Rattus norvegicus: one gene and its partners. The protein of the gene in region 6 purifies or fractionates together with the protein of the main gene of each other region. This does not show direct contact. Links are inferred from orthologs where the notes say so. Each region holds a gene or a part of one and is shown on either strand. Other genes may lie near its edges.

Evidence for each region.
Region 1: the proteins of Smarce1 (region 6) and Actl6a purify together in Homo sapiens (affinity purification with mass spectrometry; 9 studies listed by BioGRID and IntAct, with this or other methods). This does not show direct contact. The link is inferred for Rattus norvegicus from reciprocal best matches to the Homo sapiens genes SMARCE1 and ACTL6A.
Region 2: the proteins of Smarce1 (region 6) and Chd4 purify together in Homo sapiens (affinity purification with western blotting; 3 studies listed by BioGRID, with this or other methods). This does not show direct contact. The link is inferred for Rattus norvegicus from reciprocal best matches to the Homo sapiens genes SMARCE1 and CHD4.
Region 3: the proteins of Smarce1 (region 6) and Pbrm1 purify together in Homo sapiens (affinity purification with western blotting; 9 studies listed by BioGRID and IntAct, counting the BioPlex papers as one, with this or other methods). This does not show direct contact. The link is inferred for Rattus norvegicus from reciprocal best matches to the Homo sapiens genes SMARCE1 and PBRM1.
Region 4: the proteins of Smarce1 (region 6) and Bcl7b purify together in Homo sapiens (affinity purification with mass spectrometry; 3 studies listed by BioGRID and IntAct, counting the BioPlex papers as one, with this or other methods). This does not show direct contact. The link is inferred for Rattus norvegicus from reciprocal best matches to the Homo sapiens genes SMARCE1 and BCL7B.
Region 5: the proteins of Smarce1 (region 6) and Dpf2 purify together in Homo sapiens (affinity purification with mass spectrometry; 9 studies listed by BioGRID and IntAct, counting the BioPlex papers as one, with this or other methods). This does not show direct contact. The link is inferred for Rattus norvegicus from reciprocal best matches to the Homo sapiens genes SMARCE1 and DPF2.
Region 7: the proteins of Smarce1 (region 6) and Ss18 purify together in Homo sapiens (affinity purification with mass spectrometry; 4 studies listed by BioGRID and IntAct, counting the BioPlex papers as one, with this or other methods). This does not show direct contact. The link is inferred for Rattus norvegicus from reciprocal best matches to the Homo sapiens genes SMARCE1 and SS18.

The regions. Positions count from the first base shown.
Region 1 is NC_086020.1:117,419,231-117,423,530, forward strand, and holds the start of Actl6a (actin-like protein 6A), read left to right. Parts: upstream 1-1,500; 5' UTR 1,501-1,574; coding exon 1,575-1,599; exon of another isoform or gene 1,600-1,772; intron 1,773-1,930; exon of another isoform or gene 1,931-2,054; intron 2,055-4,231; coding exon 4,232-4,300.
Region 2 is NC_086022.1:159,591,318-159,594,817, forward strand, and holds part of Chd4 (chromodomain-helicase-DNA-binding protein 4), read left to right. Parts: coding exon 1-65; intron 66-199; coding exon 200-439; intron 440-1,057; exon of another isoform or gene 1,058-2,460; coding exon 2,461-2,664; exon of another isoform or gene 2,665-2,766; coding exon 2,767-2,972; exon of another isoform or gene 2,973-3,470; coding exon 3,471-3,500. UniProt on the Homo sapiens protein: ATP-dependent chromatin-remodeling factor that binds and distorts nucleosomal DNA. Acts as a component of the histone deacetylase NuRD complex which participates in the remodeling of chromatin.
Region 3 is NC_086034.1:6,268,433-6,271,932, reverse strand, and holds part of Pbrm1 (polybromo 1), read right to left. Parts: coding exon 2,883-3,500; intron 1-2,882. UniProt on the Homo sapiens protein: Involved in transcriptional activation and repression of select genes by chromatin remodeling (alteration of DNA-nucleosome topology). Required for the stability of the SWI/SNF chromatin remodeling complex SWI/SNF-B (PBAF).
Region 4 is NC_086030.1:27,143,832-27,148,129, reverse strand, and holds the start of Bcl7b (B-cell CLL/lymphoma 7 protein family member B), read left to right. Parts: upstream 1-1,498; 5' UTR 1,499-1,605; coding exon 1,606-1,697; intron 1,698-3,690; coding exon 3,691-3,766; intron 3,767-4,298. UniProt on the Homo sapiens protein: Positive regulator of apoptosis. Plays a role in the Wnt signaling pathway, negatively regulating the expression of Wnt signaling components CTNNB1 and HMGA1.
Region 5 is NC_086019.1:212,625,490-212,629,757, reverse strand, and holds the start of Dpf2 (zinc finger protein ubi-d4), read left to right. Parts: upstream 1-1,468; 5' UTR 1,469-1,519; coding exon 1,520-1,551; intron 1,552-1,859; exon of another isoform or gene 1,860-2,011; intron 2,012-4,268. UniProt on the Homo sapiens protein: Plays an active role in transcriptional regulation by binding modified histones H3 and H4. Is a negative regulator of myeloid differentiation of hematopoietic progenitor cells. Might also have a role in the development and maturation of lymphoid cells.
Region 6 is NC_086028.1:84,654,968-84,659,173, reverse strand, and holds the end of Smarce1 (SWI/SNF-related matrix-associated actin-dependent regulator of chromatin subfamily E member 1), read left to right. Parts: coding exon 1-168; intron 169-2,551; coding exon 2,552-2,760; 3' UTR 2,761-3,706; downstream 3,707-4,206. UniProt on the Homo sapiens protein: Involved in transcriptional activation and repression of select genes by chromatin remodeling (alteration of DNA-nucleosome topology).
Region 7 is NC_086036.1:6,061,414-6,064,913, reverse strand, and holds part of Ss18 (protein SSXT), read left to right. Parts: intron 1-2,977; coding exon 2,978-3,145; intron 3,146-3,500. UniProt on the Homo sapiens protein: Appears to function synergistically with RBM14 as a transcriptional coactivator. Isoform 1 and isoform 2 function in nuclear receptor coactivation. Isoform 1 and isoform 2 function in general transcriptional coactivation.

The DNA of each region.
Region 1 (4,300 bases), on a different chromosome or scaffold from region 6:
TACAGCTCAACCAGGCACATAGCTTCAGTCACAGTGGCAAATAAGCCTGGCTATGCTCCAATAAAGCAGCTTAATGTTTCTGACACGGGAGTATCATAGCATTCTTAAAAACATCTTTGAATCATTCAAAATGTACTAATACCCAAGGTGGCACGTGCCTATAACTCCAGTACTCAGGAGGCAGAGGCAGGAGGATTACAGCTTGGAGACTAGCCTGGCCTATACCATGAGACCTTGTCTCAAAAAACCCAAACCTGAACCATCATTGTGAGCTCAAAGCACAGTGTCAAGTGAACAGGAAAGCGGTTTCTTACTTGCATTATTCCTGACCCTATGACAGGTCAATTTCTGCCACCTGGATGGCATGGAAATGGATGAAATTTTATTCAACCCTTCTAAGGTTGCTAGTAACGCTTGCACTAGACACTTCAATTTAAGCACTGCTACCAGTTACAGAGAGAGCTACATTATACTTGAGTTTTGGACCTTTTGTTATGTAGATCAAGCTAACTAAAGCCCAGAGAAGCAGAGGGACAAATTGTTGCACTTATTGTTTTGGGGACAGTGTTCTGGACACTGATAGAAACATAGTCTAAGAACAGTAGACACAGATTGGGGATATATTTACAAACGGGTGTTTCTCTGAATGGTGCTCCACTTGCTTGGTGAATGATTTTCACAGAAATGAAAGAAACCAAAGTAATGATTTTTAAATGCTATCTGAATCTAGCTGGGAAAACATATGATCTCTTATTATAATAGCCATTTTAAAAAATGATGAATCCGATTATTATATCTGATTTGCCGATTACTTCAAAGTGTAGTACACATTTCTTTTTCAAGTATAAATGTTAGTTGAAGTTTTTTCTGCTTAAAAAAAAAATCCAAATCCATCACAATCCCAGACCAGGAATCTCTTCGAGGTAACTAACTCAAATTCCAGATTCCTTGCAGATACTCTCCTTTCTCTGCCTAAGTTCCCATGGCTCCTGGGGAGCGGCCACACTTCAGAAGCAAGAGCGGTTGATGGCCCAAGGCAAGCCCCTTCCCAGTACCTAATTAACTCACTTTAGAAACCCGGTCCACTCCCGCACAAAGCTCCTCCCACTCGCCCGCCCACCTAAAAACTCCTCCCACTCCATTTGCGCGCGAAGCACAGTTCGCACCCTCTTGCGAAGCAGCCCCTCCCACAATCCCGTCTGCGTGTAGAAGCCCCACCCACTTCTCACCCGCCCGCGAAGCTCCGCCCCCTCCTGCCCGTTCCCCAACACCTTCCCTTCTTCCGTCGCTTCTCCCCATGGCTGCCTTCCATTGGTCAAGACGGCTAAACCGCGCAGGGATACAGCAGCACCACATTCTGATTGGCTAAAGACTAAGCCGGGCCTCTTGTCATTGGCTGACAAGAGAAACCAGCAAGAGTGGCTGTGCAGCGGGCGTGCGGCCGCTGCTTTGTTGCCGGAGGGGGCGGCGTTGGAAGTTGCAGGCTTACGGGGTCGGCATTCTTGGGGAGTCGAGTCGCGCCGCTGTTATCTTTCGCCCAGTAGTCTTCGGCCAGTCCCCGCCCAACAGTAGCTATGAGCGGCGGCGTGTACGGCGGAGGTGAGTGAGCGCAGAGGCGCCTCGGGGCGTGCGGGCCGGAACGACCGGCCCGGTCCCTGGTCTCTTCCGTTTCCCTCCGGTCCTCGGCGGGCCCTTCCGGTCTTTGGCCGGTGCTTCCGGTCCCCGTTTGGGCCATGGCCTCTCCTTCTCTTCGGACCCAGGGCCCGCGCTCAGTAGGTTTCCGGCTTGTACTGTTGCTGGTTCCGAGATGGCCTCAAGGAAGGGCCTTGGCGTGTCTTACACCTGGAGCTCCAGGACGGGCTGGACTCTGTTGGCAGTCACCTGGCACTCCGGGTCCCTCGCTGTACCGGTTCCGCCGCGGGTTAGTCTCGGGAAGCTCGCGGAGGTTCCGGGCCCTCCGGGTGGGCACTGGTTCTGAGTCGCGCCCGGTGTTGCGGCTTCCGACTGGACATCGTTCCAGGTGTGCCTGGTCCCTAGATGAGCGGAGCGTTGAGGTACAGGCTGCTGTTCCCCTGGCCAACTGGCCAGGAGTCTTTTTATAAATTGGCGATAACGAAATCAAGGCTTTCAAGCACTGGTTTTGTTTTATTTTAAAAGTAGTTAACTAGTTAGAGACTCCTCGCTAGGGTGGATGCCGACAGGAGATGGTGCTGCTATCCTGCACGTTAACGAAGAAGAAAGCATTGGGAAGAGTTAAACAACCAGCTCAAAGTTAAAAGACTTTCTTTGCAAATTGGGAGCAAATAGCTTCTGGATTGAGGCAAAGGCATTCCTTTCTCGGCCGTGTACCTGTAACATGCACCCCTAATGAGTTAAATAGTATACTCACACTATAAATTTATAAATGTATCGAGTCAGTAGATCTGTGCCCACACATTTTAACTGCTGTGTACTGTTTTGTAAGAACGAACTGTAGCAGTTTCTCTAACTGTAGTCATTTCCCTAGCAAGAAGTGTGACAAGAGTAACTACTACTATTAGCTAATATTTATCGGGCTTATTGCTTACCAGCACTATTTTAAGTATACATTAAAACATTGAAGACATTTAGTCATAGTATCCAATGAGATAAGTATTAAATACTCTTTACTGACCAAACTGGGGCAAAGAGGTTAGTAAATTACACATTTCACATAGTGTATTTGTCCCTTGTCTGTTGCCGTGATTAAAAAACAAAACAAAAATGACCAAGGCAACTTCTAGAAGGAAGAGTTTACTTTAGCTTATGATTCCAGAGGGATAAGAGTCCAGTATGAGGGAGGCATGGCATCTAGCAGCAGGCATGGTGGCAGGAGCAGGAGTCTAGGCTCACATATCCAACCTCAAGCATGAAGCTGAGAGCAAACTGAAAATGGTGGGGGCTTTAAACTCAAAGCCTGTCCCCAGTGACAGCTTCCTACATCAGGCCCTCATCTTCTAAATATCCACAGATTGCACTAAACTGGGGCCCAGATGTTTAGATATCAGAGTCTAGGAGACATTTTCATTCAAACAGTTGCACATGCATCTCCTTTTAAAATATGAATTTCTCTTAAACTGGGTATGTCTAAACTAAATAGCTCTGTGTTTCTCTTTGGGTGCCTCTTTGTAGCTAGCACTAAACTGCATAGAGTGGCTGTGGTGATTTGTAGCTTTAACTGGAGAATAGAACTTTTCTTAAGGTTGAGTAATGTAGGTAAGTAGGATTAGTGTTTTAAATTTTTTGGGAGGGGACCCATTGACAAACTAGCACTTTATCCTAGGAGGCCTGCTGTTTGGGGTGAAGTACTTGGAAAATATAAATGGAGGCTTTTCTCTGAATTAGACTGAAAAAAATTGCCAGCTTTTTTTCTCATCACTAAACTATCCCCTAATGTCTGGAATGTGTGAGTTAAATAGTACCTTCATTAAATGCTTTTTACTTGGCCTGTATAAATTACATTCTAAGCTCTGATGTCCCAGTTTGGATGCTGGCTTATAGTTTCCTGAAGGCTGGAGGCTGTGAGCTTGGTCCTTCCTCCCTGATAGGCAGTTCTAGCTCTCTGCCTCATTTCAGCTGTTACCACAGCTCCCAACAGCCATCCCCACAAAAATCCTAGGTTCTGTTAGCAGTTTCTTGTTTTCTCAGTTCAAGGATTATGAGGACATGTCCCTTTGTTCATCCTTCTGTACCTGGATGATAGATGTTTATAACTAGTCCCTTTAGTAAGGAACTACTACCTGCTGTCAGTGTACCATATCTTTCCTGACTAAACCTCCGCTGATGAACAGTGTATGACTCACCATATTTTAATTAAATAAATCTTGAAGGTATATTTAATACTAGGTTCAAGCCAGACATTGTGGTGCATACTTTTAATCCCACTTAAGAGTCAGAGACAGGAACTTTGCGACAAGTAAGATCACATAGAGGTTGATTATATCAAAACAACAATCGTAAAAACTAGATTCTAGCTAATTATGTGTTATGTAATGGAGTTTTACAAAGTTTTAAATATTCTCATTTTATATACATAAAATATGTTCTTTACTTTGTTGAGACAAGAGTTTCTCTGTGTAGTTCCAGAATTAGCTCTGTAGACCAGTCTGGCCTGGAACTCATAGATCTGTCTGCCTCTGCCTCCCTTACTGGGATTAAAGACATCTGTAGTTCTCTTTTAATCACTTCTGTAATTCTCTTTTAATCTCTTCAGATGAAGTTGGCGCTCTTGTTTTTGACATTGGATCATATACAGTGAGGGCTGGCTATGCTGGTGAGGACT
Region 2 (3,500 bases), on a different chromosome or scaffold from region 6:
ATATGGTGTGCCTGGACCCAGACATGGAGAAGGCCCCCGAGGGCAAGTGGAGCTGCCCACACTGTGTGAGTGCCTGGCTACTGTGGCCTCTGGGTCCCCCTAAGGGCAAAGGTGGGAATAAAAATGGGAGTGTCCTTGGCTGTCTGACTGGGGGTGGGGTGGGGTGGTAATAATCTGAATCTCTGGTTTTTTATTTCAGGAGAAGGAGGGTATCCAGTGGGAAGCTAAGGAGGACAATTCTGAGGGTGAAGAGATTCTGGAAGAAGTTGGGGGAGACCCAGAAGAGGAAGATGACCACCATATGGAATTCTGTCGAGTCTGCAAGGATGGCGGGGAACTACTATGCTGTGACACCTGCCCTTCTTCCTACCATATCCACTGTCTGAACCCCCCGCTGCCAGAGATCCCAAATGGCGAATGGCTCTGTCCCCGCTGTACTGTAAGTGACTCTTCACTGAGGGTGGGAGAGGGGAGCAGTGCCATTTACTAGCACAAGGGTCTGCTCTCTGGTAGGCATTATGAGGCCTAGGTTGGGGAGAGGTCTTTGGAGACATAGAGATTTTCTAGCTGAGACAGGAGAAAGTGCTTAGTCTTGGGCCATCATCTGCCGCGTAAATGCGGTTAACTGAAGAGAAGAACGGTCTCCTCTTAAGCAGGTGAAGCAGTAGAGTCGTAGTCATTCTGTCATTCTGATTGCTGCTGCGATTTTTGGTGTTTTGAACTGATGTCCAGGCTATCCTTAAACTCACTCTATGTATGTAGCTCAGGCTGGCCTTGAGTTTACGGTGATCCTCTTGTCTTGGTGTCCTGCGTGATTAAAGGCAGGAGTATCACACATGATCTTGTCTTTAAAAACTTGTAATTTGGGGGTTGGAGAGATGGCTCAGTGGTTAAGAACAGTTCTGTTTTTGTGTTTGATGTTACAAGACAGAGCCTTTCTGTGAGTCCCAGACTGTCCTGGAACTCGCTATGTATGTAGACCAGGCTGGCCTTGAACGCAGGAAGATCCGCCTGCCTGCTGCACTAAGGATGTCCCCTTCCCATTAGGCCTGTGCTCTTCTTTTTTTTTTTTTTTTTTCCTTTTTCTTTTTTTCGGAGCTGGGGACCGAACCCAGGGCCTTGCACTTCCTAGGCAAGCGCTCTACCACTGAGCTAAATCCCCAACCCCGGCCTGTGCTCTTCTTTAGTTGTCTTGTGTTACTTTTATGTTCTCTGTACATATGTGGTTTTGCTTTATGATCTCCATTTTTATCAGCTTTCCTGTAAAGGAAAGCAGCTCCTTTATTCTTTATATCTGAAAAATTGTATTAAGACACCATGTTTTCTTCATTCTTTTGTTGATGTACACCTAGGTTGGTCCTGTAACTTAGCTCTTACACACAAATGCTGCAACAAACTCATTTGCAGCCCAGGCTGGCCTTGAACTCACTGTTGTACCTCATGTTCCCAAGAATGAGGAGCAAAGCTGAGGTTACCATGCCCAGCTTCACTTGAGCCTGGGTGTCTCACCTTAGCTCTCGGTAGCCATGGCTGCCCCAGAGCCAGCTTACTGCATTCAGCTTGCTCAAGAGAGGGAAGGGTTCAAGTCTCTCTCTCTGTGAATTGTGTGTGCCTAGCTATTCTGGTTTATTGTATAGCTTGCTTCTTGACTCTTTCTAGCTCTGTGACAATATCCAAAGAGGAGAGAAAGTTCTAGTGGTTTTTGCCTAGGGATGATTGTGAGGGTAGATTTTATTTGAGGTGAAGTATTTTATTTATTTTGTTTTCTGGAACTCACTTTGTAGTTTTTCCATCAGAGGCAGGGCAAGCAGTTCTTGGTGAGTGTAAGGTCAGTCTGGTCTATATATTGAATTCCAGGCCAGCCAGGGCTATTAGAGTGAGACTTACCTGAAAAGAAAAAAAGTTCATTCGCGAGTATTGTATGTGTACATGTGTGTTCAGGGCTCCAGGCCTTGGTGTTGGGCCAGACAGCAGCAGTGTTGTACTCCGATACCCACCGTATCACCCTGGACAGATTCTCACTACACCTGGAGCTTAGCTGGCTGGCAGCCAGCAGCAAGCTCTAGTGATCCTTTAGTCTCCCTTCCCATGGCAGTAGGCCGTGTGTGTGTGTGTGTGTGTGTGTGTGTGTGTGTGTGTGTGTGTGTGTGTGTATGTGTGTGTGTGTGTGTGTGTGTGTGTGTGTGTGTGTGTGTGTGTGTGTGTGTGTGTGTATGCGCGCGCGCGCGCATTGGATCCCCTGGAACAATAATTCTTAGCTACAGTGGATGCCAGGTATCTAGTCTGGTTCCTTTGGGAGACCAGCCCTCTCTTCAGATGCTGGCCATTTGACCTCCTGCTGTCGTGTTTGCAGCAAGTGCTCTAACCACCTACCCATAGACACTGATATTTATTGTTCCTGGAGAGTTTTATGCATAGCCCTGTGGTTTGAGTTGAGATTAAGTGGTTTCTATTTAACAGTGTCCAGCTCTTAAGGGCAAAGTGCAGAAGATCCTAATTTGGAAGTGGGGCCAGCCACCATCTCCTACACCAGTGCCTCGGCCTCCAGATGCTGATCCTAATACTCCATCTCCCAAACCCTTGGAGGGGCGGCCAGAGAGGCAGTTCTTTGTGAAATGGCAAGGCATGTCTTACTGGCACTGCTCCTGGGTGTCAGAATTGCAGGTAAGCCTGGGACAAGTTGCATGTATGAGGTGACAGTGCAGAGGTAAGAGCAGGAGGCCGGATGCAGCTCCAGGGTGGCCGCCTTTCTCTTTCTGCTCCCAGTTGGAGCTGCACTGTCAGGTGATGTTCAGAAACTACCAGCGGAAGAATGATATGGATGAGCCGCCTTCTGGGGACTTCGGTGGAGATGAGGAGAAGAGCCGAAAGCGAAAGAACAAGGACCCTAAGTTTGCAGAGATGGAGGAGCGCTTCTATCGCTATGGAATAAAACCGGAGTGGATGATGATCCACCGGATCCTCAACCACAGGTATCCCATGGCTCCCTGGAGGCCATTGACCTACCAGACAGTGTTTCTAAAGGGGCTAAGAGGGGCTGGAGAGATGGCTCAGCGGTTAAGAGCACCCGACTGCTCTTCCAGAGGTCATGAGTTCAATTCCCAGCAACCACATGGTGGCTCACAACCATCTGTAAAGAGATCTGATGCCCTCTTCTGGTGTATCTGAAGACAGCTACAGTGTACTTATATATAATAAATAAATAAATCTTTAAAAAAAAAAATAAAGGGGCTAAGAGAATGGACCTTGCTGTTGACTTACATTCAAGAAACATTCCTCTGAGTACGGCCCACAGGGAGAGTACAGAGTAGAGAGAGTATTGGGTCAAAGATAGGCATCCTTGAGACTGAGTCTATGTGGAGCCTGGCGCATTTGGAATGGTTTTGTTGGTTTTTAAGAGCAAGGCTGACTAGAGAGGTGAGAGAAGTTGCTTTCTGGTTCTGAGGAGTTTTTCTTTATTGACATCATAGTGTGGACAAGAAGGGCCACGTTCACTATTT
Region 3 (3,500 bases), on a different chromosome or scaffold from region 6:
ACAGGCTTGTGCCAGCATGCTTGCTGCAGGGATCTGAACTCAGGGACTGCATGGCAAGAACTCCATGCACTAAACATCAGGCCTTTTTATTAATTCTTATGCCACAAGAAGTTCCAATACTATTTTTATTTTCAAAAATTAAAATGGCTTCTATTATATGTCTTAAACATTTAAAAAATTTAGGTGAATGGGTGTTTTCCCTGCACATATATCTTTGCATCACTTACATGCCTAGTGCCTATGGAAGGTAGAAGAGGGTGTCAGGTGCCCTGAAAATGGAATTACAGATGGTTATGAACCAGCATGTGGGTGCTGGTAACCACACCTAGACCTTCAGAAAGAGTAGTTAGCCCTCTCAACTGCTGAGCTATGGTTGCAGCCCCCTGCTCTATTTCTCAATAGAGCTCTGGGCATGAGGTAAACTCTATGGACTCCTGCCTCATACACATGTGTCGTGGGCTACATCTTCCAGCCCTCAAAAGCAGAAGCTCATGTCAGCAATGGGGGAAGAAAAAGATCTGCACACTTCTCAACGGACAGAGTTCCTGTAATCTACAAGACACATGCTCTTTAGAAGACTCAGTGGACTGCATGGGACCACAAGAGTGTCTCTGGATTTAAAGACCTCTTAAACCGAGAGACAAAGTGGACACTGACATCATGACAGTACTGCGACATCCCATGACTCTAGAGCATGTTCACTAACTATCAGTCACCCGACAAACATTACCTGAATGAAACCTGGTGTAAAATCTGGCTGTGAGATACCTCCCCTTTCCTCTTTATTTCTATTCCCTAGTACTACACAAGGAACCATCTCTTAACATGCTAATCAAGGAGCCACCTCAAACCTGGAACACAGAATATTCGCACCCTAGCCCTTCCCTTTCTTTGTACCATTCAACCTCTCTATTCATCCTCCAACCCTCTCATGAGACTTTGTGCCTTTTTGGGTAAACTCTGGCCCACAAAATTTCTGACACAACTTTAATATGCTACGTCATATTTCCTTAAGTATTGGTCTTATCCTAACCACAAGATTTAAAGCTCTTCAATACAGAGCTCAACAGTGCTTATTACTCATGTCTATGGTGACTGTCAGCACAGCTCTCAGGGGAGACAACCCAAGGACGTCACCGAGCAGCTGTTGTATTATGAACTTTCCTGCGTGCACATCTCCAATTCTTCACATGAAAACTGAAAAGATTATCAGTTCCCTAGAAAAGCATAGATACGGGCTGGAGAGATGGCTCAGAGGTTAAGAGCACCGACTGTTCTTCCAGAGGTCCTGAGTTCAAATCCCAGCAACCACATGGTGGCTCACAACCATCTGTAATGGGATCCTATGCCCTCTTCTGGTGCGTCTGAGGATAGTGACAGTGTACTCCTATACAAAATAAATAAATAAATCTTAAAAAAAGAAAAGCATAGATACGTCAGAGGTTATCTTCATGAAGGGCTTTACTATGCTGTTCTACAAAAGCTGTTACTAGGAAAAGCGGTCATTAGTATTTACTTTTCCTTCAAGGTCTAGAGCAAAGATCTCCTAGGTGGAATTAAACAGCCCAAAGTTCCAGCTCTCAGTACTTCAACATTGTAAGCCACAAGAAGGCAGGATTTACTGTCTTCAAGTTAAATGTAACCGAGCACCTATAAGAGCATAGAGAACTTACACTGTGGTTGCTGGATTACACTGGGTATTCTTTCAGTAAGTGCCAAAAATACACATAGGCCAAAAGGTTGAAGGAATTTTAGTAAGTGTAAATTTATTCTTTAAGCCATTTATTGTCCTACATTAAGCTCTTAAGCTGATAAATAAGATAAACAACAGAAGCCCTTCTTAAGTAATTGAAATAGAGATTGAGGGGTCTAGAGAAGGAGCACTGGTGTTCTTCCAGAGGACCCAGGTTCAAGTCAGAGCACCCACATGGTAGGGAACCATCTGTAACTCTCGTCCCAAAGAAACACCTTCTCTGGCCTCTGTGGGCACTGGTTATACGGGCTGCATACACATATATGTAGGCAAGACATCTCAGTACACATTACATAAAAATAAGTACGTTTTAAAAAAAGTGATTGGCTTTAGACCAGTCTATCCTCCAAGAATCATTCTAAGCTCTTTAATTCATTTAAAGCATTCTTATATTTTTCAAAGAAAAAAACCTCTACTCTAGTTTCTATTACAAACTGTATACTGTTCCTTTAAAGACATCTTCTGAGAAGGCTGCACTTCAGGTCTCTGGCTATGCCAGTGTGCAAGTGCTTCAGGTCTGCCTCCCCCTCACTGGCACTCAGTAGTGCTCTTCTCTTCTTCTTCTCTTTTTAAAGATTTATTATATATATGTACACTGTGGCTGTCTTCAGACGAGGGCACCAGACCCCATTACAGATGGCTGTGAGCTACCATGTGGTTGTGGGAATTGAACTCAGGACCTCAGGAAGACTAGTCAGTGCTCTTAACCACTGAGCCATCTCTCCAGCCCAGTAGTGCTCTTTCTACTTCATAGAGTACATGTGCTCTTTACAAGTGTGGTGTTGTTTGCTTTTTGTAGACGCACTTTCTCTGTGTAGCCTTGGCTGTTCTGGAACTTGCTCTGTAGACCAGGCTGTCCTTGAACTCAAGACATTTATTTACCTGCCTCTGCCCCCTGAATGCTGGGGTTAAAAAGTGACTACCGTCCGACTCCCTCTTTACAAGTTTTGACCCCTCCAACACTGTAAAGGGAGGAAAAGGCAGATGTTTTGCCTACCAAGAATTCAGGATGAAGGCTACCTACTATAACCATGCACCACAGAGATGCCTATCACAGCATGACTCCCTTACCTGTTTTGTAATAGAAATCACAAGGATTTATCATAAAGAAATGGCTTGGAAAACATACCGATTCATCCTTCTGGCCCTTTCCAATACTTCAAACATATGCTCCTGAAATAAATCGAGTCGCCGATATCGATTACTTTCAACATTCTTCCTAATAATGTCAAATGTAAGGGGAGGTCTGCTGGGAAAGTTCGGATCCACAGCAGGAATTTCTGCTAAGGAGTCACTGTAACATCTTCCTTCATCATCCTGATGACTCATGACGGACACAAAGAGATTATGGATAAGTTCTTGAATCAGCAGGGTCACGTTAGGGACATGAGAATCCTCGTCTCCCTCCAGGTCTCTCCGAGTTTCAAGGAGGACTTTATGGAGGACAAGGGCATCTTTGTAGATCAAAGATTCTGGCTCATTGTAGGTACAGGCATTGTTAAACATCATCACGAAGTCCTCCACCATAGAATCGATATCTTGGTACTTGTTTGCCATCATGTGACTTCGGATTTTTTCCATGTCCATGGGCTTTTTAATGGTCAGATAGTAGTCAGGCAGCTCTGACCTGGAGGGGAGTCTTAGAAATATAGCACTGAGGCGGCGGCCCCTCTTGTCAGTATAGTTCTTCACGGCTTCATACACTTCGTTCAGCTTCTGCTGCATTGGAGTCATGTACTTGGATTTC
Region 4 (4,298 bases), on a different chromosome or scaffold from region 6:
GGCTTCGAACTTTCAACGTAGTCAAGGATGATCCTGAACTCTTGATTTTCCTAGAACTGCAAGTAAAATTCAGTGTTCATGGGGCTGGAGAGATGACTCAGCGGTTAAGAGCGCTGACTGCTCTTCCAGAGGTCCTGAGTTCAAGTCACAGCAACCACATGGTGGCTCACGACCATCTGTAATGGGATCTGATGCCCTCTTCTGGTGTGTCTGAGAACAGCTACAGTTTACTCATATAAATAAAATAAATAAATCTTTAAAAAAATTCAATGTTCATTTAAATGAATACCACCATGGGAGCATGTAATGTCAGCTTTGAGTCACAAGTGCCCAGGACACTTGATGCCTACTATTTGTTTTGTCTGTTAGCACTGCTTTCACTCACCCGATTCTTTTCTTTTTGTTCTCTCCCCTCCCATCCCAACCCCCAGCCCTGGCTGTCCTGGAACTCACTCTGTAGACCAGGCTGGCCTTGAACTCAGAGATCCACCTGCTTCTGCCTCCAGCATGCTGGGATTGAATGTGTTCATCATAATCCCTGATTCAGAAATTCTTTCAAAGGAGAAACACTTCTATATCCACAGTACTTGGTCTAATACACAGAACATAAGCCGTGTGTTATCCAGAACTGAATTCCATGGCAGTTGAGTGCTAAGTATGAGCCAGGTACAAAATACTCAGGACAAGCTGCAGTTTGAGCCGGATGTTGAAAAAGTAGTTTATTCAATCAGAAGAAATTTCCAGGTGGGTAGTGAAGAATTGGAAGACGAGAAGTCAAAAAGAAAAAGGTGTGATATTGACTCTGGAACACAGCTATTTAAGCAGTGATGACACAGGTCTCCAGTTACATGAACATGAAAAGCATAAATAATTCTTGAAGGGCCAGGAGTCATAGGGGTTTAAAGGACTTGATGCCAGCCTAAAACTCACTAGGGAGAACCAACTCCCACAAATTATCCTCTGTACCATATATACTTAAAAATTTTCTTCCCAATGGTGCAGTGGCTCACACCTTTGATCGCAGCACTCCAAAGGCTGAGGCAGGCAGATTTCTGAGTTCAAGGTCAGCCTGGTCTACAAAGAGAGTTGCAGTACAGCCAGGGATACACAGAGCCTGTCTCGGAAAACAAAAATGAAACAAAAGTTTCTAGTCAAATGCAGTGGCACACAACACCTGAGAAGCAGAGTCAGGTGGCTCTGAAGTTCGAGGTTGGTCTGGTCTATAGTACAGCAAATTCCAGGAAGCAGTAGATTGGGAAAGTGGTGACTTCGAAATCTCATCCCACCAACATCATTGCGGCCTCGCCTGGCACACACCACGTGCGGGCGACACTAGGTTCGGCCTCCCAGTGAGGTGTCTAAGGGTCTCTTGAGGTGCACAGTAGGGACGCCCCCGGGCGGGTGCGCAAGCGCGCTGAGGCCTCAAGGGCCCAAGGGGCGGGAGGGTGCGCGCGCTCCCCCGCGCACGCGCGCACGGGGGGGGGTGCGAGCGACGGCCGCGGTGACGTGCTGCGGTGGCAGCGGGTGGACGACGACGCGTGAGGCGCGTGATATCCCGCGTCTTGGGAGCAGTGTCCCGGCCCCCAGCCACTCCCCGCCGCCGCCATGTCCGGCCGTTCGGTCCGGGCCGAGACCCGTAGCCGGGCCAAAGATGACATCAAGAAGGTGATGGCGGCCATCGAGAAAGTGCGGAAATGGTGAGGGGCGGGAGTGGGGGGGGTTGCTGACGTGGGTTTGCGGGAAACCCGGCGCGGAGGATCGCCAGACACGTACAGACAGGGTGGGAACCAAGAGGCCGGCCTCTGGGGGGAGGGGGCCGGAGGAAAAAAGCGAAAGGAGGGCGCGCCGGCGTCGGCATGAAGTCAGAGTCCGCGTTCACAGTAGCCAATCAGAAGGACAGTCGGCTCTTAGCCCCTCCCACTAGCTGTCATTAGTCGCTTCCGGCCCGCTCTGCCTGGGGCGGGACCTGGCGCTGCAGTGTTGCACTTCCGCCGGGGACCTCGCGGAAGTGCGGCTTGGCGGCTCCCAGCTGGGTTTCCGCTCCTGCGCATCGCAACTGTCCAGTGATGTCCGTTGTTGCCAAGTCTTATGCGCTATAAGTGGTCGAAATTAAGCGGAAGTTTACAAACGCGGCACTTTTGGAACACAAATCCCTTATATCTGTAGATCTGGGGCCCTTAGCCAGCGCACCCGTTTGCTCTAGGCGCCCAGGGGACTCCGTCTCTGCAAATACTTACTGCAAACCCGGATTTAACGGACAAATGGTCAGGATTTCATTGCATTAAACTGTTCTGAACCAAGTCTTTGAGCCATTCCCCCTCACTTAATGACGAGTAATTTCGTTACTGTTTCGTTCATTTTGTTTTTTTTTGGTTCTTTTTTTCGGAGCTGGGGAACGAACCCAGGACCTTGCGCTTCCTAGGCAAGCGCTCTACCACTGAGCTAAATCCCCAACCCCTGTTTCGTTTATTTAACCGGATCTCCCCGAGTACTACAGTCTGGCTTTACACTTGCAGTGATCCTTCTGCCTCAGTTTCCCCAGCGGCTAAGAGGCCGCTAGAGTGATTTTTTTGTTTGTTTTGTTTGTTTGTTTTGAATCAGTGTCTTAAAAACCTTTGGCTGTTTTGGAACTCACTTTGTAGACTAGGCTGGCCTTGAACTAAAGATCCGCCTTTCTCTGCTTCCCAGGTGCTGGGTTATGGCATGCCTCTGCTTCCTATGTAATTCTCAAGTGTCTCCATCCCCTTTTATTTTTTACTGATAAGGAAAAGTTTGGAGGCTGGAAAATGGTTTAGTGGTTAAAAGCCCTGGGCTGTTCTTGCAGAGGACCTGCATTCAATTCCTGCCACCACATGGCAGCTAACAAACACCTGTACTTCAGTCCCACACACACACAGGAGAAATGCTGAATGAGTTGAGGGTACACTTGGTTCGGTTGGGTTTAGAGACCTGGGAGGCCTTCATAGTTTGCCTTAGGGTGATCTTCAGTAAAAGCCACTCAACGTTTTCTTACTTTGCTAGTACGTTGGTAAATCTGACATTTCTACCTCAGGAGGAACAAGGAAGAATGTTGAGGGAGGGGTCAGTTTTGTTTGTATGCTGGGGATGGAGCCCATAGCCTTGGGCAGGCTAGACTAGTGCCTCCCACTGTTGTTCCTGGCCAGAGAAAAAAGGCAGCTAGCTACAAAGCTGTAGTGTTTCTCTGTGAGTAATCTCAGTGACCCAGCATGCAATTGCTGCCTGTTCCTTTCTGGTGATTGTTCTTCCTTTGGAGGAACCTTAAATGGAAAATGAACAAAACTAGTTTAGAGAGACTTGGAAATTATCTCCACCATCCTCCCTGACTTCTGTCTGCGGGGGATCAAAGTCAGGACCAGTGCATGCTAATAAGCCTGTTAAGACTGAGCCACAATCAGTGTCTTTCGTGCCTTCCTCCAACCCCAATTTGTGGCAGTCCTCCTGCCTCAGCCTCCAAGTGCTAAAATTACAAGAATGCAAGTGAAAGCCTCCCCACTCCCCAACCCCTGGCTTTCATCCCTACTCTGGTTACATCCTCTTATACAAACCCACCTTCAGGTGTAATTTGATGGCATTCGAGATCAAAGGAACAATCTCTTGAGACACAAAAGCAGAGTTAGTAAACAAACAAGAAATGTGATTTATTAATCCTAATTAATGCTCATCTTCTAGGGAGAAGAAATGGGTGACTGTGGGTGACACGTCCCTGAGGATATTCAAATGGGTGCCTGTGACAGATAGCAAGGAGGTAAGTAGGGGGTGGGCAACAGTTAAAGAAACCACTGTCTTAGCTTCCATTTCTCGCCTCTTTCAGTTATAAAGGAAGTTCTTTTCTGAAAAGACCTCAGGCTCCCTCGGCCCGGACTATGCAAAGTGCTCCTTTGTCGTTTGCTCCTGTATCCTCTCTTTACTTAGACAGTAGCTTCAGCCCCGTTCCTGTTGATGGGTCATTTCTCTAATGGTGAAGTGAGCTGATGCAAGCCAGATTAGATTATATATAGGCAGGTTTATTAGGAAGCTGCTCTCCGGGGAGTTCGTTGACCCCAAGGACAGAGGCCAGAGAAGTCACAATGGGGAGAGAAAAGGGTGGAGAGAGAGACACACACACAGACACACCGACACACAGACAGACAGACAGATAGACAAAGTCTGGATTATATAGAAAAGACTCTCTTGGGGAAGGGCAGCCCACTGGGCTGGAAAGTTTAGGGTATGCCAGGTAGGAACTAAGGAATCCTGGGAGAGCCAGATGTAAAATATGCTCCTCGGTCCCCTGTCTG
Region 5 (4,268 bases), on a different chromosome or scaffold from region 6:
TGTACTGGGGTTGGGGATTTGGCTCAGTGGTAGAGCGCTTGCCTAGCAAGCGCAAGGCCCTGGGTTCGGTCCCCAGCTCCGAAAAAAAAAAAGAAAAAAAAAAAGCCAGTGTACTGTAGGAACACTTGACATTGTTAGCTGTCCATTAAACACTTGTGTGTACTTTGGGACTTCCTTTTGATTGTGGTATAGTTGAAGGTATGGTGCCTAGACAAGCTAAGGAGGGAAGGTCCTTCTATTTCTAGCTACCTCAGTGTAAGGAGGTGCCTGAGGTCAATGAGTTCAAAGCTTCAGGTTACCACTCTGACACAGGAGTTCCATGTATGGCTGGTGTCTGTCCCAGAACCCAAGGCAATAATGTCCTCTACCTGTGGCTCCTCTAGCTTCAGCTCAGGTCTCGGGTGAGACTGCATGAGTAAGAATGTAAGAAAGGTGCCTCTCTTTTACCCTACCCCACCCCGCCAGGAGAGAAGCTACACCAGCACTGAGGCTGCAGGAAAGTGAGAGAATACAGACTCTGCCAGGGCCTGCCGTTAATACTGCATACAGCTGGTAGCCATGTGTAAGCTTTGGGGATCTGTGTGGTTTCAATATGGTTGGCCCAGGGAGTGGCCTTGTTGGGGGAGGTGTGTCACTGTGGGGGTAGGCTTGGAGAGACCTTCCTCCTAGCTACCTAGAAGCCAGTCTTCTCCTGTTTGTCTTCTGAAGAAGATGTCGAACTCTCAGCTCCTCCAGAGCCATGCCTACCTGAATGCCATGATGATAATGGATTGAACCTCTAAAACTATAAGCCAGCCCCAATTAAATACTGTGCTTTATACGAGTTGCCTTGGTCATAGTATCTCTCCACAGGCGTGGAAACCCTAAGATAGGGTTCCATTGAGCCAGGGTGTCAAGAAGTAGGTCAAAAGAACTGTGGGATCCTGGAGTTGGAGTTACAGACAGTTCTGAGCCTCTATGTAGTGTAAGCTTAGGTTTTTCAAAGCCTACTTTATTTAGGGTTCTTAAATGCTTCAACCTCCCTTTTAGCCCACCGACGAGAGGTAGGGAAAAAGGCAGATTAATAGGCAAAGGGGGTTGCGGACAGAGGTACCTAAAGGACTGGGTACCTCCCTGACCTTTCCAATCCTTCCCTGTGAGTCAATCATGTGTCTAACGGTCAGCTAGGCAGGACACTGTTGCTCCTTCTAGCTCATCTGCCTGGCCTATTCACTTACCTTTCTCACTTTCCAACCAAGCCTTCCTGAGGCTCTACTAAATGGAGGGGAGACAGATCTCCAGAATGAGCTGCAGAGGGCGCATAGTTTTCCAATCGCGCCTGCGCATCGGGATCCCCTAGGCTCCAGGTCGGGTCGTTTTTTTTTTTTTTTTTTAGCGCTCGCCCTCGTGAGCCTGTGCGTGCGCGCACCCTCGGGCTGCGCCTGCGCAGAGGATCGAGGACCGTGTGTCCTGAGAAGGCTTAGCGCCTGCGCGTTGCGGGCTTCGGGGCCTCCCGGCCTGAGGGAGAGGAACTGGGAAGATGGCGGCTGTGGTGGAGAATGTAGTGAAGCTGTGAGTGGTCTTCTTTTTTCTTTTTCTTTTTAAAAATCTCTCCTGTACAGGAAATCTTGTAATGGGGCCTGGGAGTAGAGAGGGAAGTGCGGGAAGAGAAAAGACAGAGAGAAGGACATGCCCGGGAAGTCCTTGCTGTGCGACTGCTGGTAGGGAGGGCAACAGGAGACTCTGGAGAAGGCGCTGGGCTTCTTTTGGAAACTTGTGGAGACCGGGAGGGGGGCACACTAGAGTCCCCGACGAGCGTCCTTCTCGCGGGCCGAGCCCCGAGCGGAGCTGCGGACTGCGAACGAGAGGCTCACGGTCCCTGGCCCCTCAGTCCCGTCGCGCTGAGGCCGGCGGCCCTGGGAGATCGGGGTCCCCTCTCCGCCCACCGCCCTCCCTGGGACTACAGGCTCCGCCGTACCTGCTGGGATCCTAAGATTTAAGCAGCCCGGTGACATTAACCGGGAAATCCGGGGTACACGAAACTAAAACTGTTCTTGGGAAGAATTGTTCCAAGAGCAGATACAGAAGGGAAAGAACTTCTGGGAGTGGGCAACTAGACCGGAACCAGACGGCCTTCTGGTCCGCAGGAGCCCCGAAGTGGGCGTTCTCTGTACCCTAGATGCCATTGTGCGGGTCAGATTTCGAGCAGAGCTGAAGTTAACGGTTGTTGGGAAACACTGGGAACGGGGACTGGCCTGTTAGCCGCTTCCCCCGAGTTAGAGGTGTTTGGGGTTTTGATGAGTCTCCTCCTTCCTTCTTGAAGAAGAATCGAGAGTTTTGGAACGGGGTTAAAAATGCCCGTTGGGCTTAAGAATGGCCTTTTCTTCCTTTAATGGCCATGTTGGGCGTGATGTAAGAATAGAAAAATGGAAGTGTTCAGGTGTCCAGTCAAAGCTTTTGGATTCTGGATGGCAAAGTAATGGTTTAGGAACTATTCTGGAGGACTTTTCGCAGCTTCATCTGTCTTTGTCGTGGGCTGAGCCCCCATAGTCCCAAGAGGCTTTTTTTTTTAAGGTTAAGTTGCTTCTCCCCCGCTGCTTGGAGCCCTTTTCTTCGAGAATGCTTTCCCACCTCCATTAAGCTAAGTGCCTTCTCTTGTGGCTTTTTTTTTTTTTTTTTTTTTTTTTTTACTTGCTTTTGGCTTCATCCTGCTGCCTCTTTCAACCACCCCTCCTCCCAACACTATTATCCTTATGATCTGCCCCCTCCGGCTTCCCCAGCCCTCTTTAGGCTGACATTTCCCTTAATTTAGAAATGAAGCTGTTAATTTAACATTTTTATGGTTCTCCTTCTAGACTCAGCTGTTAGGTCTTTGTTACTCTGCCTTTCTTTGTTGACCTCCCCTATTCCTGGTGGAAGGGGAGTTGTCCTGTGCCCCCACTCCTACCCCACAGGTTTCCTGTGAAAAGAGGAGCCACAGCTTTTACCCTGGAAATCTTACTTTCTAGAAGAACGTGTTGCCTAGGTTTTCAGAATTACATGTTAATGGAGCTCTTCATATTGAAAGATGGTCTTGCGGAGAATGGAGTTGCCAACCCATTGGTGTAGTATTTTAAGTGTTGGTTCCCATTTAAATAGAGCAGTGCTGTTCCTGCCTCTTTAACCAGTCAATGGTTCCTAGTGTCAGCGAGGTACTGAGTTGATTCTTCCCATTTCTAGGTGCAGAAGACTAGACATCACTAACACGTACCTCACAGAACTTTCCCTTTATAGAGAAGACTTTGATTCTCACACCATTCTCACTTTGGAAAGATGCCTTTCTGATACTTTCTTTTTTATTATAGTGTGCTTAAGTCTTCTGGCAGCTGACATCACTCATTGAGGGAAAGACCACTAGTTCATCTTTTTCTTTGATTTTTGCCTTGTGAGAAGACTTTGTCTTAATTTTCTGCTTTTCTCAAATACATTATCATGGTTGACATAGTCTTTAGAGTATAGAGTAAATACTAGTCTAAAAAATAACCATGACTACCAACTAGTTTTTAAAACTTTATATGAGTTATATAAGGCTATCTGTAGAATAACAGAAGCTTGAAATTTTTTGCTACAGAGTCTTGAATTCATGTATTCTCCCCTTTGCTGCTCTCTTCACACACACACGCACACGCACATGGGCACACATACATGTACATAATTTCTTCTGGCCATTTCTCCTACTAGAGCACTTGCTTCACCTTCTAGAATCTTACCTGACCTGCAGGAGCCGATTGGACATTCCAGTCATTCCTCCAGGCCTTCTTCAGCCTCTGTGCTTTGACTTTGCAGTCTTCAGCCCCACTGGGCTGGTCCTTCCTTCCGTTTGACTTCCAGTGTCAGCATCAATTCCATCAGCAGAAACAAAGGAGCTGCTGCAGTCAGCCTTGTTTATCGGTTTTTCCTGTGTGGTAAGGACAAGGCTGCCTCCTAAAGGCGAGCAAATGTGAGCCTGCTCTCTTCTGTGCTGTGCGCTCCAACACATTCATACCTTAATTATAGTTATTACTGCTCACTGAATCAACTCAGGCTGTACTTGTAGTGTTGCTGTGTGTGTGTTTTTATTAAGCTATGCAGTGGTCTCCTGTGACTGCTCAGTGAAAGTCCCTATCAGATCCTACGTTAGTGCTTGTCCATACAGCTTTAGTTGTAGGTATTGGCCACTGAGACTGAGACCTTCTCCCTCTTGCTTTTCATGCCTCCTTATCCCTACTATCTCCATCAGAATCCTGGCAGGCCAGAGATCATCTAATCTA
Region 6 (4,206 bases):
CAGAGATCGCACAGGCGGAGGAGCAGGCCCGCAAAAGGCAGGAGGAGAGGGAGAAGGAGGCAGCCGAGCAAGCTGAGCGCAGCCAGGGCAGCATCGCCCCCGAGGAAGAGCAAGTGGCGAACAAAGCCGAGGAGAAGAAGGATGAGGAGAACATCCCGATGGAGACAGGTAACCGCCTCCCCAACCCAGGAAGTGTGAGGGCCCTGACAGCCGGCATTCTGCCATTCCCTGTCTCTCTCAGAGCAGCATGGTGGCATCAGTCTTGCCGTGTGAGCTCTTGGTAGTACTCAAGTGGGGGTGGCTCTGGAGACGGGCGTGCAGGGCCCTGTCTGTTTGCCCATTGCTGACACTGACTTTGCTGAGCTTTCTCTCATCTCCTCATTTGAACAGCTACTTGCTGCTGGATTTGACATAGGATTAATAGGCAATAATACTTTAACCTTTATGGCTACTATTTACATAAGATGTGTCATGGGCCCGAGATTTGTCTTAGTCCTTAGATGGCAAAGTTTGACTAGAAGATGGCCAGACTCACTTGTTGTGAGTCACACTACATGTGACAGCTTTGAGGTGACATGAGAGAGTGTGTGTGTGTGTGTGTGTGCGTGTGGGTGTGGGTGTGCGTGTGTGTGGGTGTAGTTTGGGACTTGAAACAGACTTCCTGGCCAACAGCCTTTAGTGATGACCGTCTAAGCCTTACATGTTGGTGCCAACCGACCTCAGCCTACTGTGCTTTTTTTTTTTTTAAGATGTATTTATTGTATTCATATGAGTACACTGTAGCTGTCTTAGACACACCAGAAGAGGGCATCAGATCCCATTACAGATGGTTGTGAGCCACCATGTGGTTGCTGGGAATTGAACTCAGGTCCTCTGGAAGAGCAGTCAGGGTTCTCAACCACTGGGCCGTCTCTCCAGCCGGAACAATGCTTTTTGATGTTTTGGTTTTCCTGAATAAAGGCATTCCTCATGGTTTGGATTTTTTTTTTTTTTTTTTAAAGAAAAGAAAGGTAAAACTTAGATCAAATACTGATGAACTTGGTTGTTCTTGAAGTTTTCGAGATCACCTTGCCTCTCAGCACGATTGACCCTGCCTAGTGGATAAACAGGAGTAAGCCAAAAGTAGTCAGGGGACACTAGCACTTGCTGGGAAAAGGGACATGGGCATACTCTGTACTCAACAGTAATTCCTGGCAGTGTTTAAGGAAACGTCAGTATCTCTGCCAGGCATTTACACAGTATTTAACTCAGTGGGTTTCCTTTCCAGACAGGCTGGTTTTAGTCTTCATTGTCTGGGCCTCTTTCTGGTTTTGTGAACCCGGTTTTGGTTTTTGGTTTTGTTTTGTTATTTTTTTACCATAAATTGGGCGAACCAGAGTGTGGTTCTTTGCTCATCTTGCAACCAAACCATGTCTTCAGTCTTGAGTCTGTTTTGCCCCAAATGAGGTTTGTCTCCCTCTGACGGCGTCTGGGTGTCTGGGATGTTTACTGAGATGTCTGTCTGCTAGCTTAAGGAAAGAAAACGGAGGGAGAACTGAAGGGAAAAAATTAAAGATATTAGAACCTTGTGTTCAGTTTCCTAAAGGAAGTGGCCAGCACCACTTTAAACAGAGCATCTGCTTCTTTCTGTGCCTTCATTTTGTGTATTTCAGGCAGGATCTTGCTCTACTGTGTTGTCTAGGCTGGCCTCAGACTCCGGAGTGCAATCTTCTGGTGCCACCACCTCTGGCTTCTGGCTTCCTTTTAATGTTACATTTAAACCAAGTCTCCAAAAAAATATTTACATGTTATAAGATTTTAAAAATTAATACTCTAGGCTAGACAGAAAGCTTAGTAGACGGACCTGAGCGCATATGGGAAAAGCAGGTTACATCCTCAGGATCCAGTACAGGAGCTAGAGATCAGCAGATTCCTAGGGCTCATTGCCTGCCAACCTGGCCTACCTGGTTACTCCCAGGTCAGTGAGAGATCCTAAAGTGGACAGTTCTTGAGGAACAGAACACTTGTGGTTCTCCTCTGACATGCGCACACATACAAGACTCTCGCTGTCTTACATTCTTTTATTGTATCAAATCTTTGAAATCTAGCATGTATTTTATATACTTCTTTTTTATTTATTTTTATTTTATTTACATTAGTGACTTGACTTCATGTATGTCTGTGTGAGGGTATCAATCCAGATCCCCTGGAACAGGAGTTACAGATAGTTGTGAGCTGCCATATGGGTGCTGGAAACTGAACCCCAGGTCCTCTATGGAAGAGCACCCAGTGCTTTTAACCTTTGAACCGTCTCTCCAGCCCCTCTCCCAAAAGCTCAATTCTCACCACAAAAGTGTTTGATATGTATTTAAATTTCTTAATACTGTAGGTAAAAATGTAGATTTTCGCACCCTGAGTTGTCTCAGATATTCATGAATATTCCTGAGTCACAAGACTGGCTCATTTCACTGCTTGCCACGTGTGCCTAGTGGCGGTCAGACTGGACAGGTCATTTAATGCCGTCAGCAGAGTTAGAGTGAACGGAACTGATGGTGCAAATGTGTGGTTACAGAGGAGACACACCTTGAAGACACTGCGGAGAACCAGCAGAATGGTGAAGAAGGCACATCTACTCCTGAGGACAAGGAGAGTGGGCAGGAGGGGGTTGACAGCATGGAGGTGGAAGGGACCAGTGACAGTAACACCGGCTCAGAGAGCAACAGCGCAACGGTGGAGGAGCCGCCCACGGACCCTGTGCCAGAAGACGAGAAGAAGGAATAAATGTTGCCTTGTTTTATGTGACCTAAAACTTTTTTTAAATGAAAAAAAAAATGTGTTTTTTTTGGTTTTAATGGTGTTATGTGGTCTGTGTATTATTTCCATTGATACCGTGAAGGTCTTCAATAGCATAGCCTAATGCCATCTGCTCACCTTTCTTAGCTCTCAACTTCTGAAACCTCAGAACTGAGATCAGTCGAGAGACCCATCTCTTTGAGAACCACTTGGATGCTGCAGAATCTGCTCTTCCAAATGCCTTCCTTCAGCTCACTTGGGTGCTCATCAAAGCCATAGCTTTAACCCCTCCCAGACCAACTACAGCTCTCCGAGTCCCCTGTCGTGTGTATTTATACAGAGTGCCCTCTTTATCTCTGATATCAGACACCAGGCATCCTCTTACAGGGTAGGGTGTAGCCTGAAACCAGCGAAACACAGATGAGACTGTGCAGAGATGGCCCTGGAGGGGCCGGGGGAGTAGTTACTGCTGTGGATTCTCATTAGGTGAGCCCTGCACGTGCATATCCATATCTGTGCAGTTATTATGGGATGTGTTCTGGGAAATTCATCCTTATTGTACAGGGGGAAAAGAAATGTGTTTTTACCAGATTGGTTTTCCAAAGACATGATAGACAGCAGAGCCTAAGGAATGGGATATTCTTATAATGGACTGCAGACTTCAAAGTGATTGGCCTATTGCAAAAGGAAAACAGGAACTACGTTCATCCACTTGAGCATACTTCATAGTGATGAAAACCTCAAGGCTCGAGATCCCATAGATCAGAGCCGAACCTACTTTTTTGATAAGCCCTTTAGTGGTGTTAGAGACTAGATATGAGATAGTTTGTAGTGCGTGCTCTCTGATATCTAGAATAGATTTTTACTGAATAGTGGTATATATGATGTTATATGTTTCTTAAAGGCCCAAACATAATAAAGAAATTAAGACAAAGGTCTCAGTGTTTTTATTGCACTGTAAAAAATCGACATAATTTGGTCCCTATGATACCAGGACATCATGGAATGACCCACAATCATGAAATGTCTGTCACTCATAGGAAGCTTGCCTCACGAACTGTCAGTATTAACAGGACTGTGAAGGAATCTGTTTGGTGTGGCTAACGAGTGAATATAGCCTGTGCTCATGGGGGAACCGTACCTGCACTCCCCACTTAGTGACTTACACAGCAACAAGCAATTTCCTGAGAGGAAGCTTGATGTGTGGGGTCATCCTTAGGCCAGTTTTTCCGTGGTTCTGCCCTTCCTTGAAAATCAAACAATTTTTTTTTTCAAGACAGGATTTCTCAGTGTAGCCCTGACTATCCTGGCAAAAAAACTTATCTGTGAACAGGTCTGTTTGGGGTTTTGAGCATGGAGAGCTAAAAATTCAAAAAATGTCTCATCTTAAATAAATTGGATAACCACAGATAAAATCCTCTGGAAGGTGAGATG
Region 7 (3,500 bases), on a different chromosome or scaffold from region 6:
CTTGCCAGTCTACGTTATTCTGGGGTATTCTGCCATCCGTAGAATTGGCGGCCTTTCACTGAACTGCTCTGTTCCCGTTAGTGTGTTAAGGAAAACCATATGCATCCTAGATAATCAGAGTTGACGTTTAAACTTCGTGGATAAGCCTTCAAGGGCGTGTGCAGAGTGCCGGGTGTGTGCTGCCTTCCTCTCCTGTTTTCTCTGGATTTACGTTGATCCTGAGTGCTGTGAGGCCTTGGGGGCAGTGACAGAATTCAGGAAGGTAGTGACTGAGCTGCAGGCAGATAGAGATAGGGCTCAGATGGCACGGTTGTGTGGGCTGTGCCCTGTGCTGGAATTTCCTCTCTCCTGGAAGGACTTTGAAGTGAGATAGAATTTTGTTGTGATAGATATTTGAGAGCCCCTCCCCTAGCGATGCCTTTCATTTTGGCTCCAATATTCAGATACAGCCTAACTTCTAAGTCAGGAGTCCTTTGGGCAGTTTTTGAAAATAAAAATAAGGCAAACCTTTCATTTCTTGAAAATGAAATTTAAAAGGCCCAGTCAGGTTGACAATAAATTATGAGTAACAGCATTAAAATGTTTTTATCACATAGAGTTCATGACTAGAGTGATAAACTCAGTGGTTAAGATCACCCGTTCTTCTGGAGGACCCGAGTTCGGCTCCCAGTACCCACATGGCAATTCATGACTGTCTGTAACTAGGGGATCCTGTGGGCTCCTCCGACTCTACATGTGCACGGCTCACACCCATACTGCAGCCACTACACCCAATGCTTCTGAGATGTGCAGGTGAAAAGGACAGGCACAGAGGTGCACTTTGAACTCGGCTTGACATTTGTAATCTTGCCAGGTACTGTTAGCAAGCTTGCTCTGTGGATTCCCTGGTTGCCAGGGTGCCCTGGGAAGTGCAGGTGACAGCTTGCATTGCAGGTACCTACAGTGCGCCCAGGGTCTGCCTCCTTGCCAGTCTTACTGAGCCGTCTTCCTCCTGCTGTGAAGAATTCATTTCCATGCTGAAGGGCTCCAGGGCTTTGGAGAGCTTCTACATACAGTGATAAAAACTGGAGAGACCCGAGAAGAGTTAGACAAAAGCAGAACACACAGAGGTGCTCAGGGAGACAGCAGCTCTGAAGAAGCTTTTCTTCCCACGGAACAGATGGTCACGTTGCTGAGGAGGTAAAGCTCTGTGCTCACATTGTCCCTGGAAACTTAAGGAAGTGGCTGCTTGGTTTTTAGATGTTTGTTTAAATTAATAGTGAGCCTCTGACTCACTGTGTCATCGTGGCCTGCACAGCTTTCCCTTTTGTACTTTAACTCACCCCCAAGTTTGGCGCTATGTAAGCAGGACTGCAAGACGACACACAGACACTCGAGTCAGCGGGCTGAGAGTGTGGGACTCTGCTCTTTAAGGACCCGGCAGCCCTCGGGGAGCATCTGACACTGCTAGGCGGCCACACAGAATTCGAGGGCCACTGCGGGTCACGTGACAGATCTTCACTGTATGTGCTGCAGCAGTGGTGCTGAACTCTCACCCTGTAGAGTGTACTGAGCCCATGCCTTACTACAGACCTTTTCCTAACTCTCACCCTGTAGAGTGTACCTGTCTCTGAGCCCATGCTTTACTACAGACCTTTTCCTGGTAGTTTTTAGGGTGGGGAGACTGGGAGTAGGAAGTTAGAGGGTGGGCAAGGTGAGAGGATTTTAGTTATTTATTAAGGAGCACCGTGATCCTGGAGGCTGGAAAGATGGTTGAGCTGTTCTTGGAAAGGACCTTGGTTCACTTCTCAGCACCCACATGACAGCTGTCATGTCTGTAACTCCAGCTCTAGGGGATCCAGTGCCCTCTCCTGCCTCTGGGCATACGTACAAATCGTTCACAGATACATACATGCAGGCAAAACACCTGTACACATATGATTAAAACTAAAAAAAAAAAACAAAAAAAAAACAAAAAAATTTCTTTTTTAAGAAAAAGCACTGTAGGGCTGGAGAGATGGCTCAGGGGTTAAGAGCACTGACTCTTCTTCCAGAGGTCCTGAGTTCAAATCCCAGCAACCACATGGTGGCTCACAACCATCTGTAATGAGATCTGATGCCCTCTTCTGATGTGTCTGAAGACAACAACACTGTACTCATACATAAAGTAAATCCTTAAAAAAAGAATGTAAAATAAAAAGATATTTCAAAGAAAAAGAAAAAGCACTATATATTTCTAGTTTGTAAAGCTTATAAAAGGTTTGGGAAATGGAAAGTTTTTTTAATTTTGCATAAAATTGAAGTTTATAAAATTTAACTGATATGTTTATGAAGTGCTTCTGTAGGTTTCTGCTTACCACTATTGCATAAATGTGTACTAAAAGGAATGAGAGTGTAGGGCCGGAGAGATGGTTCAGTGGGTAGAAGTGTTGCTGCTCTTCCAGAGGACATGAGGTCAGTCCCAAGCCTTCACACCACCTGTGACTTCTGCATTCCAGATGCCCTCCCTCCCTGGTCTAGCCTGGGCTCCTGCATGTATGCAGCGTGCATAAGTCATGCAAACTCACACACATACAGAGAATAAGTCTTTATCATCCTCTCTACATACAGAAGGAAACAAACCCAGAAGTGGGTTTCTTCTGTCGGTCTTATTTTCATCGCTTTCCTCATGCTGTGGTAAGATGCTTTTGCCTTGAGAGCCGGTGAGATGATGCGGATAGAAGATGTATATGCCAGAAAGAGCTTGTTTCCATGTTGATTTTTTAAAAATGACTGGAGTGCTCTGGTGGACCTGAGGGTTCCACTGGGGTTTGGTTGTTTTCCTTATTTGCAGATAAATGTGGGCCTGTGAGCTTTGTGCAGACTCATTTATACTTGCAGTCAGTGTCCCTTGTTCGAGTACACACTTTGTGTATTCTGTGGTAAGAGTCTTGTACCTGTCATCGCATGTTGAGCAGCAGTGCCAGAACACCGCGTGATGATGTTTTTCTGTCTTCAGGTCCCATGATGCACCAGCAGCCTCCTTCTCAGCAGTACAGCATGCCACCTGGAGGTGCGCAGCATTACCAAGGACAGCAGGCGCCCATGGGGCTGATGGGTCAAGTTAACCAAGGCAGTCACATGATGGGCCAGAGACAGATGCCTCCCTATAGACCTCCACAACAGGGTGAGAAGCCATCTGGAAAATTCCTTGCTTACTGTAAATGACAGTCATTGAAAGGCTTTAAGTTTTAATGTACTGTTCATCCTGGCTTTTGTTGCACTCCCCTGCCACCCACCAAGGTAGCAGGGTTTAGGGAACCCTGAGGAAGTCCTGAGGCATAGAGGAGCTTCCCAGCACATGGCTTCCTTTTGTCTGGTGTTCTCTAGGGAAATACCACATCAGAAACTTTTCTATCAAATTTACTCATTTACATCAGAAAATGCCCTCTCTCCCTTTTTTAGAAGTTACTAAGTATATGACAAAGAACAAAGCCAATTTTATATCAAAATGCCTTAATACTAATGTAACAAGTAAAAAG